Macaca mulatta: one gene and its partner. The protein of the gene in region 2 purifies or fractionates together with the protein of the main gene of each other region. This does not show direct contact. Links are inferred from orthologs where the notes say so. Each region holds a gene or a part of one and is shown on either strand. Other genes may lie near its edges.

Region 1 (7,786 bases), on a different chromosome or scaffold from region 2:
AAATTCCTGGTGCTTTTCCATTTTATGGTAGCTTATATTTTATACCCTCAGTGTCCTTCAAAAGTGGCTGGAATAGCCCACCTATGCCTTTATCTGATATGTTCATCTCTTTTTCACCCTTTGGAGAAGTAAGATTACTTACAAGAAAACTGATTCTCCAAAAGGTATATATACATAGTACGTAACACTGGTAAATAATGGGTGTTTCTAACAGTTCTTAGAAACTGGCAAAGAGACAGAAGCCCGTAACTACCCCAAACTCACCCACCTTCATACATCTTCACAGAGACATCAATAGCAACAGTGAATTTATACATAAAGAGTAAGTGAGGCAAAGGCAAAAGCAGTATCAATCTGTCTGAGTGTAGGCAATGGTGCCTTGATTATTTACCCGTACAAATTCTTCAGTCCCTTTTGGTTATCCCCAACTCAGCTCTTAAGCCGCAGATTTTTGCTGTGGAGAACTCAGATGTGATGTAGCTGCTCCAGTAACTCTTTTCACAGTACTGCATGTCAATAATGGGAATGATTTCTAATCAATTTAAACTGCACACGGTACTTTAATAGAACAAGAAGTTTATTACTCCCACTCAGTAGTTCCTGGGGGCTTTGATGTTAAGTCATACATAATTCGAGAAATACCAGGAATCTTCTTAATCTCAGTGACCATCTTTAATACCACCTATTAAAAAAAATTACAGAGAAAAGTCAGCATCCACTGCATGTCCAACAGTCCTAGAGGGCTTACATTTCTAATTTAAAATTAAAAGTTGACTATTTTCACTATTGTCCTCCACGTATATGGGATGGTTTCCGATTAATCTTATAGAATGAACCTATTCCCCTCTGCAGGGATAGGTTTAAGTTATTAAGGTTTAAAATATTAGTGACTTAAACTCAGTACTACTCAAAGTGTGATCCACAAACAGGTGCTAGTCTGCAATTTGTGTTTGTGACTGAGCCACAACAAATGCTTAAGAACATACAGTGATTTGACATTGCTGTGGCATCCAGGCATGTGATTTTATGTGTTTCAGCCAATGCTCTGCAAATTATCTGCAGCTTAAACATACAACTCTAAGGGCCATTAATCATTATCAAGTATACAGGAAGAGAGGATAGCCTGCTCACTTGTCAAATTTGGCAAATTTGAGTCTAAGAGAAAACTAACTAAGCCACATTCCCCAACCCATCTACCTAGCTACAACCACAGCCTCGTGTTAGTGCACTGGAGGCAGCGGCCCAACTGTGAGACAGAGTCTCACTTTGATTTTCACTTGCTATTATGCAAGTAGCTCCTTTGGAATGTTCTGGTGAAAACAAAGAAGGATCAAAAATTGAGTTGGAATTGGTAGTAGGGAGAATATTTAGGCAATTCTTGGGTGTCTGGCCATAAAGCTATCAAATTGCATCCTTATTTCTAACTAACTCTTCTTCACTCCTAGAGTTTTCTTCTTTATTTGGGGAATACTATTTGTAAAGTAGAAACTGGCAGGATTAGATAAAATTATTATAATTGATTACTGTTTATATAGTAATCAGACATTTGGAGAGCATTTATAACTTAAGGCCTTTTTCTGCCCCAGTGTATTAATCAAATATGTGAAAATTAAAAAAAAAAAAAAAAAAAAAAAAAGGCCTATCTTATGAACAGAAAACCAACATCAGAAATACAGCACTGGCACAGCCTATTCCATTCACTGTATTATAAAATGTAAGAGGCACTGAGAACATGCATTAGAAAAAAATATATAAATTACCTCTACAGGGATCTCATTGCCAGGTGTTGCAGGTATACCAGTCATGAAGTCACTAGTAATAAAGGTTCGAATAACCACAGATCTCTGGCATGAAGGCTGCTTTTGAAGTGGGTCCCGATCAAAATGTAATGGTGTCAAAATCACCGGCATCTGGCTGATTTTCCCAGCATACCCTAGAGAAAGGTACATGTAGAACCAATCACCGCACCATAGAAAAGCACTCTCAGTTCAATTAAATCCTCCCAGACAATATCTGAAATCACATATACACACACAGTATAGTTAAGACTGTCATCATGCATTGATTCTAGCTACTCGCAGAGCATTTTAATTGGACTCAACCACAAATGCAAAAAACAGAATTTGATCACATCAGTGATGTTTCACTGATGTGCTATAGAAAGAGTCCATTCTCATTATTCTCTATTATAATTTGCAGTATAGTTATATTCTACACTGCAAACAATGAATTAGTGAATATTGAACCATTTCTCCCAGGGGATATGGAGGGTTAGGTCCCTGCAAGCCTCTGGTTGCAATATTTTCATCAACTGATTAATATATAACCTTGTTTTATGTATGTTTCTGATTTAAGACACTGTATTTAATATTTATTATAGATTCATTCATACTGAACTCAAAATCAACAGCTCTTTAACTCATGCCTGAATGAAGTTTATCTAACACACAGATTTTCTCTGTAAGGTACATCACAGCATTCCTGTGCTTAGGAACCCAGACAGCACTTCAGCACTATACTTGAGATCCATTTTAAACAGCAAAATCACTAACAAAAAGCATAAAAATGCAAAAGATATTTCATCAAGGAGACCATGAAAAAGACTTGTTCACCTTATGAGCGCTGGAACAAGAAGGCACAGTGTCACCTTGTTCAAACTCAGCTGGGAACATCTAAGTCTGGAAATTCAAATTTTCTGCTGCTCTGTGCATACCCACAAATTGCCACAAAGGTGAATATATTTTATTTAGAAGCAACATTATAGGCTAGGTGCAGTGGCTCACACCTGTAATCCCAACACTCTGGGAGGCCAAGCCTGGCCTCACCTGACTCCTGACCTTATCACCTGAGGTCAGGAGTTCGAGATCAGCCTGGCCAAAACGGCAAAAACCCCATCTCTACTAAAACTGCAAAAAAATAGCCAGGTGTGGTAGCGGGCGCCTGTAATCCCAGTTACTCAGGAGACTGAGGCAGGAGAATCACTTGTAACAGGAGGCGGAGGCTGAAGTGAACCAAGATTGTGCCACTGCACTTCAGCCTAGGTGACACAGCAAGACAGACTCTGTCTCAAAAAAAAAAAAAAGCAACATCATAGAACATTCAAAGATTTAAATAATAAAAACAAAAGCATCTAAAAAGCAAAAGCTACATCCTCCTACTCTTAATGTCAAGCTTCCAAAAACTAGTTTCAGAGGGTAGTGATCAAAAACATGAGCAACTTACCAGACTCCCTGAGAATGTTATGGGCCTCAAAATCTGCTTGGCGTAAAGTACTGAGCACCCCTGTTGTCAAGAAAGTGGGAGTAACATCTGTAGGAGGTTCTTTAACTGGTGGGCCAAATATATAAACAACTCTGGAAACAAAGAGGTAAAAATAATAGAGCAATTACATTTTAAATGTAGAAATTACATTTCAGTATGAGAAGCAAGGCACTTAGAACAGTAACATTCTTTCCATTTCCCACTTAGTTTTAGGCCCTTCTCCTGCCCACTTCATCTCCTCAAATGGATAGGACAACATGTAAGATTATAGGAAGGTCTGTGTTCTATGTGCTTTCCTCAAAGTGTGTTCTCTGGAACATTCTGTATCTCAGAATGTGCAAAGATATAAGTGATTATTACGACTCTCTTTTCACTTAACGTACTGGGTCAAAGAGTATCCCCAAAACTTCATGTCCACCCAGAATCTCTGGGGAGAAAAAGGGTCTCTGCAAATGTAATCAAGTTAAAATGAAGTAATACTGGATTAGGATAGGCTCTAATCCAATGACTGGTATCCTTTCAAGTACCGGAAAATTTGGATACACAGACACACATAGGGGAATGAGGATCATGTGAACACAAAGACTGACTGGATTATGCTGCCACAAGCCAAGCATTGTTAGCAACCATCCAATAGTAGGAAGAAGCGAGGAAGGATCCTCCACTAGAGTCTTCAGAGAGAATATGACCTCGCCAACACTGAATTCAGACTTCTGGCCTCCTAAACTGTGAGAGAATAAATGTCTGTTGTTTTAAGCCTCCCAGTTTCTGGTAATTTGTTATGGGTGGTCCTAGGAAACAAATACACATAGTTAAAATTTAAAAATAGGTGCCTTTATGACAAGACTTCAGAAACTATTAATATACTATGCTAACATGCACTGGAAATCTCCAAGAGGAAACTATAGTGAATTTCCCAAAATTAGTAAACTCATCTTTTTATCTACTTGAGAAACAATGATCCTAGAGAGATTCTCATTTGCACTTCATTAAAAGGGCCATTGAAATAGGACTTAGTATCCTACTACTTCCTTCCAAAAAAAAATTCATTACTGTTTTATATAAATGTCTGTTTGAAAGACATGAAGATATACCACAAATATCTTCATGTTAATGACAGTCAATGAGAGTACAGTTTGGAACATAACTTGAGGAAATCAGAATCAGACAATTTTAACAACTTGAAGTGTGTAGCTGGCCATTGGTTTGAAGGGATCTGTTTCACAATCTTCACCCAGAAAACAAGAGGGAATCAGGGTAAAGATATGAGTGCCACTTAGCTAGTTCTCCCTACTCCAGCCAGTAGACAATTGTCACTTTTCATCAGTCATGATTTTAGCAAAGAAAATAAAACTCCCTGGCAACTATCATGGTAAAGTTTAATGTTTTTTCTTTTTTTCTTAATATGTACTTAGGTAAAATACACAAAAGAAAACCATATTAGCACAAAACCACTGACACCACCACCGACTTTATTGTCTCCTTCCAAACATACTACAACAGAAGCAAGCTTTTTATCCCATGCATAGACAGTAAGTTATACTTTTTCTAAACAATATAGTTCCTAAAGCTCATAAAAGATCTTTAGAGGAAAAAGTTAAGAGAATACCATGAACCTGCTTTTTAAACCTTCTCACTTCTTACATACAAAATCACTAGAGTGTACTGGCACAGGTATTTACCCACACTATATATGACAGTAAAACTGGAACAGTCCCTTCCTGTACAAAGATTCCCTCATCCAAATTAGGAAAAAAACTGGCAAACATGGAAGAATATTTTAAAACTCCAATTCCCCAAAAAGACCCCGGCAAAGAAATCTAAAGTTCACCAAGATCTCTTTTTTTTGAGACGGAGTCTCGCTCTGTCGCCCAGGCTGGAGTGCAGTGGTGTGATCTCGGCTCACTGCAAGCTCTGCCTCCTGGGTTCACGCCATTCTCCTGCCTCAGCCTCCCGAGTAGCTGGGACTACAGGTGCCCGCCACCACGCCCAGCTAATTTTTTTTTTATTTTTAGTAGAGACGGGGTTTCGCTGTGTTAGTCAGGATGGTCTCGATTTCCTGACCTCGTGATCCTCCTGCCTCGCCCTCCCAAAGTGCTGGGATCACAGGCGTGAGCCACCGTGCCTGGCCAAGTTCACCAAGATTCTTTTAAGAGCTTGCTGGGAAAATCTAGTTTTTTGTTTGCTGATTGTTAGGCTTTTTATTTTTTTCTTTTTTGAGAAGGGAGGAAGGAAGAAGAGACAAATAGGGAAAAGAGAGAGAAACTGGAATATAAACATAAAGTTTAAATAAGGATGTGTGCCCTTCGGCAAAAGAAAAAGGAGATAAAACTGTAAGAATGCTGTGAATGAAGAAATACACTAATTATACAGTAAAAGTGTGCAGTTCAATTTAGGGAAATTTTCTCTGTGATAGGCAAATTATGAGCCACTGTTCTAACCAAGACAATTATGTCCACTCAAAATAGGCAATTAAAAATTTATCATTATTGAAGTTTTTTTGTTTGTTTTGTTTTTGAGAAAGGGTTTCACTCTGCTGCCCAGGCTGGATTGCAGTGGCACGATTTTGGCTCAAGGCAACCTCCCAGACTCACGCGATCCTCCCACCTCAGACTCTCAAGTAGCTGGGACTACAGGCACACACCACCATGTCTGGCTAATTTTTGTATTTTTTGTAGAGATGGAGTTTCACCATGTTGTCCAGGCTGTTCTCAAACTCCTAAGCTCAAGTGATCCACCATGCCTGGCCCCCATTATTGAAGACATTAATAATTCCATTTTTCAGCATATGAAAGATGCTTCTGTATTTGGGGGTCTTCAGTTCATTTGAGTAAGCTTTTGAATGAGCATGTTCCCATCGGTAAAAACACGGCTTCCCTGTAACTCCTTATCTCTAACTATACAGACTCTGCTAGGTTAACATTAAAAGGTAAGCTTCTGATTTCTGCAGCAATTTGAGCAAAATGAAATCTCAAGTAATTCTTTTTGGTTGTTAACTGCCTAACACCCATGAAGAAAATTGAAGAGAGAGAATAACCGTGAAATAAGAAAATTTAATTAGCAATCTAGTACAAAATAAGTGAATTTTTAAACTATATATGGTATGATGAAATTGAGTATTAGAAATAGATTATAAATCAGCTGTTGATATATCCAATGTAAGAAATTAATATGCAAATTAAAGGAAAATTAACCTAAAATGTAAATTATATATTTAAATGTAACTATTTTAATGCTATCTGGCACATGCCCATTTCTTCGATTTTTTCCTTGGGGTTACTACTAAATTAACCAAGTCTCCATTTTTGTTTGCGGGGTGGGTGGTTGGTTGTTTTGTAGGGGTGGGTGGGTGGGTGTGTGTGTGTGTTACTTTATTTGTAATTCTGTAACCTGGACATACATTTTTTCAGTCCTTCTGGAATAAAACATGTCACCATAAAACCAATAGCTAATATAAGCCACTAATGTAGAAGATAATGTTTTACAGCTGCCTTTAATATTTTACACTAAAATAAAAAATCTTTCTCCTTTAAATAATTTTTAACAGATGATTACATTGTGATGAAGAGTCAAAACACAAGATAATATTACATATCTACTTAACTGCGACCTATGTGCATATTTGAATTGCAAACACAGCCATTTACTCTTATCTACATGACCTACCTATATCTACATTTGAGCCTTTTGGTCTTTCATTAATGGAAAGCCCTTAAGAAGCACATCCTTCCATTACACATGTCCCCACCCTAGCTCCTGTGAAACACACCTGTTAACGTTGTGACACATGCGAGGTATAAGCCTAGCCAGAAAAATAAGTGATTCCCAGTCAGGTTCATCTTTACTGGAGATTCCACACACGTAACTGTAGGAACGACAGTCACCCTGAAAATAAAAAGATAATCAGTAATTTTTAACAGTCAAAAGTTTAACTTGACTTTAAACTTAAACTCGGTTTAACTTGACAATGCTGTTTTTTTTTAAAAGAAAAGATGCATTGAAAAATATCTTATGCATGGTGACACTATTAATAGTTTTTTTGAAATCTGAATGAAAGTATATACTAGATGTTTCTTTAATGGTATGAATAAATTCCAAATTAAAATCCCATATTAAATCCTACCTGAATCAGTTAAGACATACATAAGGTATCATGGTAATATCAAGAATTTAGGCTGAGCACAGTGGCTAATGCCTGTAATCCCAGCACTTTGGGAGGCCGAGGTGGGCAGATCACCTGAGGTCAGGAGTTCAAGACCAGCCTGGCCAACATGATGAAACCCCGTCTGTACTAAAAATATAAAAATTAGCTGGGCATGGTGGCATGAACCTGTAGTCCCAGCCACTTGGGAGGCTGAGGCAGGATAATCGCTTGATCCTGGGAGGCGGAGGCTGCAGTGAGTTGAGAGATCACGTCACTGCACTCCAGGCTGGGTGACAGAGCGAAACTCTGTCTCAAAAAAAAAAAAAAAAAAAAAAAAAAGAATTTATTCAACATTCCCATTACCTGCTAACTGTGGATAAT
Region 2 (8,182 bases):
AAATAGGGAGCTGGCTACCAGCGTTGAGTCCCCTGTAAAGGTGAGTGAACCCCACTAGATCAAGGGACCCCTGCCCTCCTAGGGGACCTCTCTCCCCTGCCCCAGGGTTGCCCAGCCCCTTCAACCAGTCTCCATCCTTGAGCCGGTCCCATTTGCCCCTTCTCCCACCAGGGATCCCTCAACCCAAGACCAGCTGTGCTTCCGGCGCTGGCCCCCTACCTGGGAGGAGGCTGGGGTGTGGACATGACTGCCGAGTTACCCAGAAGGGGAAGGGACCCGGCTGCCCCCTACCTGGGAGGAGGCTGGGTTGTGGACGTGACTGCCGAGTTACCCAGAAGGGGAAGGGGCCCGGCTGCCCCGATGCTGGCACGTGACCTGGGATGAAGGCTGGGTGCGGCTGGGAGAGCCAGGACTACAGCCTAGCCAGGACGGGTAGGGAGCTCATGTCGGGGAGGTCTGCAATTCTGGAGATTCCCAGGTCCAAAAGTCCTCCAGAGGTGAGAGGGGAAGGCTGTTTAGGATGTTCAACCAGAAATGTATAGGCCTTCAAAATTATTCTTTGCCCTAGAATAAGTGTTGTCAGGAACTAAACTAAGTTTGGAGCAGCTGAGAAAAGAGCCCAGGGAGTGCTGGCCACAGTTCCTGTTGCTCTGTGTGTATACATACATATACACATGCTTGTGTATATACATATACACCTACATACCTATATACACCTGACATCTGCTGTTATAGGAAGTATTAATGAAGATATATTCAAAGCATGAAGTATGTCTGGCACATGGAAGGTACATGGTAAAAAGTAGCTATAATTTCTCAGCAGCATGGAGGCCTGTTGGTACCAGACAGGAGATGAATGAGCACTGAGGGTTTAAGCAGGAATGGACATGATGAGAGTAGAACTGTCAACAGCTTTATGAGGTTCTTGCCAATTTTCACTCCCTCTTTTAGGGACTTAGTGTCTCCTTCTGTCTCACTGGATCAATGGACCAACAATGGAGGAGTTCTTGTTATTCAGAACAAGAATAAACTTACTCAACAAACTATTTGATCGGTGTAAAAGTAATTACTGTTTTTGACATTAATTGTTTTGCCATTAATTTTATGCCTTTTATTTATTTATTTATTTATTTATTGAGAGGAAGTCTCACTCTGTTGCCCAGGCTGGAGTGCAATGGCAGAATCTCGGCTCACTGTAACCTCTGCCTCCCAGGTTTAAGCAATTCTGCTGCCTCAGCCTCCTGAGTAGCTGGGATTACAAGCGCCCACCACCACTCCCAGCTAATTTTTGTATCTTTCGTAGAGACGGAGTTTTACCATATTGGTCAGGCTGGTCTTGAACTGAACTCCTGACCTAAGGTGATCCACCCACCTCAGCCTCCCAAAGTGCTGGGGTTGCAGGTATGAGCCGCCGTGCCTGACTCATTATTTTTATTTTTCTTTTTTATTTTCCTTTGTGTCATTTTGTTTTTCTTCTTTTTTTAGTTTATTTTTAACTTTTGTGGGCACATAGTAGGTATATTTATGGGGTATATGGAATATTTTGATACAGGTATACAATGTGTCATAATCACATCCGGGTAAATAGGGCATCCATCACCTCAAGCATTGATCATCTGTGATACAAACTATGCAATTATACTCTTAGTTTTCAGTGTACAATTAAATTATTGACTATAGTCACTCTATCGTGCTATCAAATACTAGATCTAATTCACTCCACTTTTGTACTCATTAACCATCCCACCTTCCCCAACACACACACACCCTCCCTGCTACTCTTCCCAGCCTCTGGTAACCATCTTTCTATTTTATCTAACTCCATGAGTTCAATTGTTTTAATTTTTAGCTTCTACAAATGAGTGAGAACATACAATGTTTGTCTTTTGGTGCCTAGCTTATTTCACTTAACATAATGACCTCCAGTTCCATTCATGTTGTTGTGAATGACAGGATCTCATTATATTTTATGACTGAATAGTACTCCATTGTGCATATGTACCACATTTTCTTTATCCATTTATCTGTTGATGGACACTTAGATTGCTTCCAAATCTTGGCTATTGTGAAACATGCTGCAGTAAACGTGGGAATGTAGATATCTCTTTGATATACTGATTTCCTTTCTTTGGGGTATATACTAGCAGTGGGATTGCTGGATCATATGGTAGCCCTATTTTCAGTTTTTTGAAGAACCTCCAAACTGTTCCCTGTAGTGATTGTACTAATTTACCTTCCTACCAATAGCGCGTGAGTGTACCCTTTTCTCCACACCCTCCCCAGCATTTGTTATAGCCTGTCTTTTGGATAAAAGGCATTTTAACTGAGATGAGATTATATCTCATTGTAGTTTTGATTTGCATTTTTCCGATAATGATGTTGAACAACTGTTCATATGCCTGTTTGTCATTTGTGTGTCTTCTTTTGAGAAATGTCTATTCATATCTTTTGTCCATTTTTGAATCAGATTATTATTTTTTTTCCTATAGAGTGGTTTGAGTTCCTTATATATTCTGGTTATTCACCTTTTGTCAGATGGATAGTTTGCAAATTTTTACTCCAATTCTGTGGGTTGTCTCTTCACTTTGTGGATTGTTTCCTTTGCTGTGCAGCGCCTTTTCAACATGATGTGATCCCATTTGTCCAAGTTTGCTTTGGCTGCCTGTGCTTGTGGGGTATTTGAAAGAAATCTTTGCCCAGTCCAATGTCCTGGAGAGTTTTCCCAATGTTTTCTTGTAATAGTTTAATAGTTTGAGCCCTTAGATTTAAGTCTTTAATCCATTTTGATTTGATTTCTGTATATGGTGAGATATAGGGGTGTAGTTTCATTCTTCTGCACGTGGATATCCAGTTTTCCCAGCAGCATTTTTTGAAGAGACTGTCCTTTCCTCATTGTATGTTCTTGGTACCTTTGTTGAAAATGAGCTCACTGTGGATGTACGGATTTGTTCTGGGTTCTTTATTCTACTGGTCTATGTGTCTGTTTTTATGCCAGTACCATGCTGTTTGGGTTACTTTAGCTCTACAGTATAATTTGACATCAGATGATGTGATTCCTCCAGTTTTGTTCTTTTTGCTCAGGATAGCTTTGGCTATTCTGAGTCTTTTGTAATTCCATATAAATTTTAGGATTTTTTTTCCTATTTTTGTGAAGAATGTCATTGGTATTTTGATAGGGATTATGTTGACTTTTTGTTTTTCTTACACAGACTTTCTCATATTTTCTTTTCCCTTTCTTTTTCCTCCCAGCCAGCCCTACTAAAGGGCTTAACAGTACGCTTGACAATGGCTTCAGCAGCACGCTTGACAATGATGTGGGAGGAGGTCACGTGCCCTATCTGCCTGGACCCCTTCGTGGAGCCTGTGAGCATCGAGTGTGGCCACAGCTTCTGCCAGGAATGCATCTCTCGGGTTGGGAAAGATGGGGGCAGCGTCTGTCCTGTGTGCCGGCAGCACTTTCTGCTCAGGAATCTCCGCCCCAATCGACAACTAGCCAACATGGTGGACAACCTTAGAGAAATCAGCCAGGAAGCCAGAGAGGGTGCACAGGAGGAACAGTGTGCAGTGCATGGAGAGAGACTTCACCTGTTCTGTGAGAAAGATGGGAAGGCCCTTTGCTGGGTGTGTGCCCAATCTCGGAAACACCGTGACCACACCATGGTCCCTCTTGAGGAGGCTGCACAGGAGTACCAGGTGAGGCCTTAGAGACACAAACAGGAGGAAAGAAGATGGGCCCTGGTGAGTGCTTTGCTTTCAGAGCAGGGAATGGGAGAGGACCACCTCTGGATTGGAGAAGTTAGAGAAAGGAGGAGTTTACCTCTCTCCATGTCTAATGTAGAAGGAGAATTATAAGCTAAACCCAACCTCATTCTCCAGGCGTAGGCGATATGCATGAGAAAATGCTGCAAGGATTACCCCACCCTATTACTTGGTTTGCATGGGGACTAATATGCTGTCTTTCTCTGCAGGAGAAGCTCCAGGTGGCATTAGGGGAACTGAGAAGAAAGCAGGAGTTGGCTGAGAAGTTGGAAGTGGAAATTGCAATGAAGAGAGCAGACTGGAAGGCAAGAATGACATCCTGAAGGGGATCTTAGGCTAGAAGGTTGGGCAGGGTCCAGGGTCCTCAACTCACAGCCTTAACTGTAGCTGTGCCTGTCTGAGCTGTGATAGAGTTGGTCCGTCTCACTCTCCAGAAAGCAGCTGCTCTCTAGGTTTACAGATAGATGGGAATAAAAATGATGCAGGTTCAAAGGGGAGCTCCCCATCAGGCCTGAAGATCAAGAATCCTGGAAGAAGGTGCTGAGAGGATCTAGCTATACCCTAAAGTTTTGAGCTCCTCTGAGTCTAGTCTCAGAGGTGTGACGGCATCAGCACCTGGATGTCTGAGACAAATATCCTAGGAGAAACCCAACTGCTAGCTAAGCCTTTCAGGAAATGACAAGGCTGTGAGGAATAGACTTAAGGAAACCATCTGACCAGGTGGTTACTTGACCATGACCAGATCTCTGGTCCCAAATATAATGAAGAATCCATGTTTGTTCTGCACTGATCATTTCCAAGGAGACGTGGAGCATGTTGGGGATGAGAGGGGAGAGGAAGGAGCCCATCCCCAGTAGATCCCAGAAAAGAAACATTTGGGATTGAGGTAGGGTGTGAGTTGGGTTGTGGTGACAAAACAGACCCTCATGTCATCGAGTGACCTTCCAGTTACTAACAGGAGATGAAAAGCAAAGAATGTCCCCAAGCCCCCTTTCCCAGGACTTGGAGGTGGTGGTGTCAGCCTGGCTTTGTGAGGTTGTTGGAGGTGGGAACAGGTGTTTTTTTTCTCAGTAACTCACTGAGACAGGAAGACACAGGGGCACATTTGAGTGGTGACTGGGTTTGGAAGAGAGGTTGGAAAAAGTCCCCAATGCCGTATATCCGTGTAGCTGTGGTTGTAGGCCAGCTACAATGTGCCCTCACCAAGTCCATTCCCCTCACTGTCCCGGAAACTTCACCTACCTCCCAAGCAAAATTGTGTGTGTGTGTGTGCACATGCTTGTGTGTGTGTGCGTGTGTTTTCCCAGACAACACCAGAGTGGAGTCTTTGGGGAATAGGAATAGGTACCAATACCTCCATTCCCAAAGTTTGGGAGCTTTTCATAAAAACCACCTCTCTCTTTCCCTTGACACTAAAGAAAACGGTGGAGACACAGAAATGTAGGATTCACGCAGAGTTTGTGCAGCAAAAAAACTTCCTGGTTGAAGAAGAACAGAGGCAGCTGCAGGAGCTGGAGAAGGATGAGAGGGAGCAGCTGAGAATCCTAGGGGAGAAAGAGGCCGAACTGGCCCAACAGAGCCAGGCCCTGCAGGAGCTCATCTCAGAGCTAGAGAGAAGGCGCCAGGGCTCAGCACTGGAACTGCTGCAGGTGAGACAGGGAGGGGTTCCCTTCTACTATTCCGGGAATAACTGAAAAAGACCAGAGCTATCTGGAACTGCCATTCGAATAAATGGACACCTGGTCCCTGGAATGTTCTTAAATAAAGTAGAATTCAAACCCACGAATGGTTTGCATTCAAGGCACAAAGTAAAGATGAAAATAAGTATAGGACCTTTTTAAAAATCAATGTATGTTGCACTTAGAATCATCTTGCATCCACCAATGATATGTTTGCCTCACTGTACGAAATGATGGACTAGATCGTCTCACAAGTCCCTTCTGTTCTAACATTCTACAGTTCTTTCTTCACCCCTGTTCACTGTGACTCAGCGTGGTCATGAGCCATTGCTTTCTGGTGTGTGCAGAAAACCTAATTGTATTGGGTTGACTTGACAGGCTCTCTTCTGCCCAAACCAGGCTTTCTTATTTATTTATTTATTTATTTATTTATTATTTATTTATTTATTTATTTTGAGATGGAGTTTCACTCTTGTTGCCCGGGCTGGAGTACAATGGCGCGGTCTTGCCTCACTGCAACCTCCACCTCCCGGGTTCAAGCGATTCTCCTGCCTCAGCCTTACATCACCACACCTGGCTAATTTTGCATCCCTAGTAGAGATGGGGTTTCTCCATGTTGGTCAGGCTGGTCTTGAACTCCCAACCTCAGACTCCCACCTCAGCCTCCCAAAGTGCTGGGATTACAGGTGTGAGCCACCATGCCTGGCCATGAACCAGGCTTTCTAACATACTTTTAACTGAGTCTAGGATCCTGCTAGCTCCCATGTAATGGCTCCCAATCCCTATAACAAAAATATTTTCAGTGATTTGGTTTCACATACAGGAAGGGGCAACATTAAGTACCCAAGGGAACTTTAACTAACCAACCTTTCCTTCCCAAGCAATGCTAGCCCACAAATGGAACAGAGCAGTTTCTAGACACCTGAACTTGGCCATTCTCTGCCTGTGATTGGGCTTAAGCCAAGCTGGGCTATGTGCCCTCTCTGCCCTCCTTTCTTTCTACCCTGGGGGAAAAAAATCTGGTCTTTGAGTCAGAGTCCTCAAACTGATAATCCTTCCCCAGCTGTAGGTCACATCCATGCTGGGCTTCTGGTTACCTCACAAGCATCCACACATCCTTTCTGCTTCAAGCTGGTCAGAATCATCTTTGGGGCTTTGGACCAGAGGAAGGAAAGGAACAGTTCCCCAGGGACCACAGATGGATCACATCACCCACAGGGCTAATGTCTCAGTGGCAATCCAGCAATCCAGAACTTACTCTGTGTCTCTTTTCTCCTCAGGAGGTGATAATTGTCCTGGAAAGGTAAGGAGGAGTTTTCTTTTTTAGAAGAGGGGCCAGCAGAAAGCATATATGCCTATGACAAAGGTTATTGAATTAGAAATACATGCACTGAAGTTTTCCCCATCTGGCTTCCTATTCTCAAAGACTTCATTGTCTATAAAATATTTTCTGGTCTCAGAAAGCTAATAAGTGGACATCTTAGTTGGTGATTGCCCACAGTAGTTGGATCGTAACATCTTCACACAGTAAAGCCCTGCCAAACAGGGAAATCCTGGGAAGTTCTGGGTCTTTCCAGAATTCAGACTACTGGAGCATGGCCAGCTGGAACTCCTTTTCTCAGTGGAATCTAACAAGTTACCTCCCAAAAAGAGCCATGAGTCAGACCCACAGTGTGGGCAAGACTCCTTGAGGTTCCTTGCAGAAGTGATTCAGCCTGTCTCAGATGGATTGCCTATAAAATGAAATTGAATGCATTTGCCAGGTGACCTCAGGCTTAGAGAGGAGAGACAGACTGTCCACATGCTGCAGCCTATAACCAGGAACTCCTGGGTAGAAACTAAATCCTGCATTGTTTGCCTCTCACACCCACCCCTGAAGACTTGAACACCAGAAGTGTTTGTAAATTTGAGTTGAATTAAATTATCAGAGTCCTCCTCCACAATGGAGGTTATAGTGTTAGGGTTTGGGATAGGAGTAAGAGACAGGAGTCTCAAACTCTCTTTCCCCCAGGAGTGAGTCCTGGAACCTGAAGGGCCTGGATATTGCCTCTCCAGAACTCAGGAGTGTGTGCCATGTGCCAGGGCTGAAGAAGATGCTGAGGACATGTGCAGGTGAGGCAAGCTCTAGGAATTTTGCGGGGGATAATGGGGGTGCAGAGTAGATCCCAGGGTCAGGGAGCCTGGATGGCAACTTGGAGGAGAGATGGAAGGTCAGAGCAGGGGGAGCAGAGATGGAGGTAAGGAAGATGGTTTCTTCAAAGGTCAGGACCAAGGCAAGAACTGGCTGATGGTCATTTCCTCACACAGGGAGGTTGACCCCTCATGCTTGCCCAAAATCCCCCCACCACAGGCACAGAGTTAGTGACTCCCCCCATGCAAGACATGACTATGGTCCTCTCTCTGCAGTCCACATCACTCTGGATCCAGACACAGCCAATCCATGGCTCATACTTTCAGAAGATCGGAGACAAGTGAGGCTTGGAGACACCCAGCAGAGCATACCTGGAAATGAAGAGAGATTTGATAGTTATCCTATGGTCCTGGGTGCCCAGCACTTCCACTCTGGAAAACATTACTGGGAGGTAGATGTGACAGGAAAGGAGGCCTGGGACCTGGGTGTCTGCAGAGACTCTGTGCGCAGGAAGGGGCACTTTTTGCTTAGTTCCAAGAGTGGCTTCTGGACAATTTGGTTGTGGAACAAACAAAAATATGAGGCTGGCACCTACCCCCAGACCCCCCTCCAC

Evidence for each region. Proteins that work in one complex are often made in the same cells at the same time.
Region 1: the proteins of TRIM21 (region 2) and GMPS purify together in Homo sapiens (affinity purification with western blotting; 3 studies listed by BioGRID). This does not show direct contact. The link is inferred for Macaca mulatta from reciprocal best matches to the Homo sapiens genes TRIM21 and GMPS.

Annotation. Positions count from the first base shown.
Region 1 is NC_133407.1:59,119,184-59,126,969, reverse strand, and holds the end of GMPS (GMP synthase [glutamine-hydrolyzing]), read right to left. Parts: intron 7,147-7,786; coding exon 7,031-7,146; intron 3,354-7,030; coding exon 3,223-3,353; intron 1,934-3,222; coding exon 1,761-1,933; intron 683-1,760; coding exon 581-682; 3' UTR 559-580; downstream 1-558. UniProt on the Homo sapiens protein: Catalyzes the conversion of xanthine monophosphate (XMP) to GMP in the presence of glutamine and ATP through an adenyl-XMP intermediate.
Region 2 is NC_133419.1:71,536,593-71,544,774, forward strand, and holds part of TRIM21 (E3 ubiquitin-protein ligase TRIM21), read left to right. Parts: 5' UTR 1-40; intron 41-3,249; 5' UTR 3,250-3,285; coding exon 3,286-3,693; intron 3,694-3,968; coding exon 3,969-4,064; intron 4,065-5,177; coding exon 5,178-5,408; intron 5,409-6,718; coding exon 6,719-6,741; intron 6,742-7,449; coding exon 7,450-7,550; intron 7,551-7,844; coding exon 7,845-8,182. UniProt on the Homo sapiens protein: E3 ubiquitin-protein ligase whose activity is dependent on E2 enzymes, UBE2D1, UBE2D2, UBE2E1 and UBE2E2.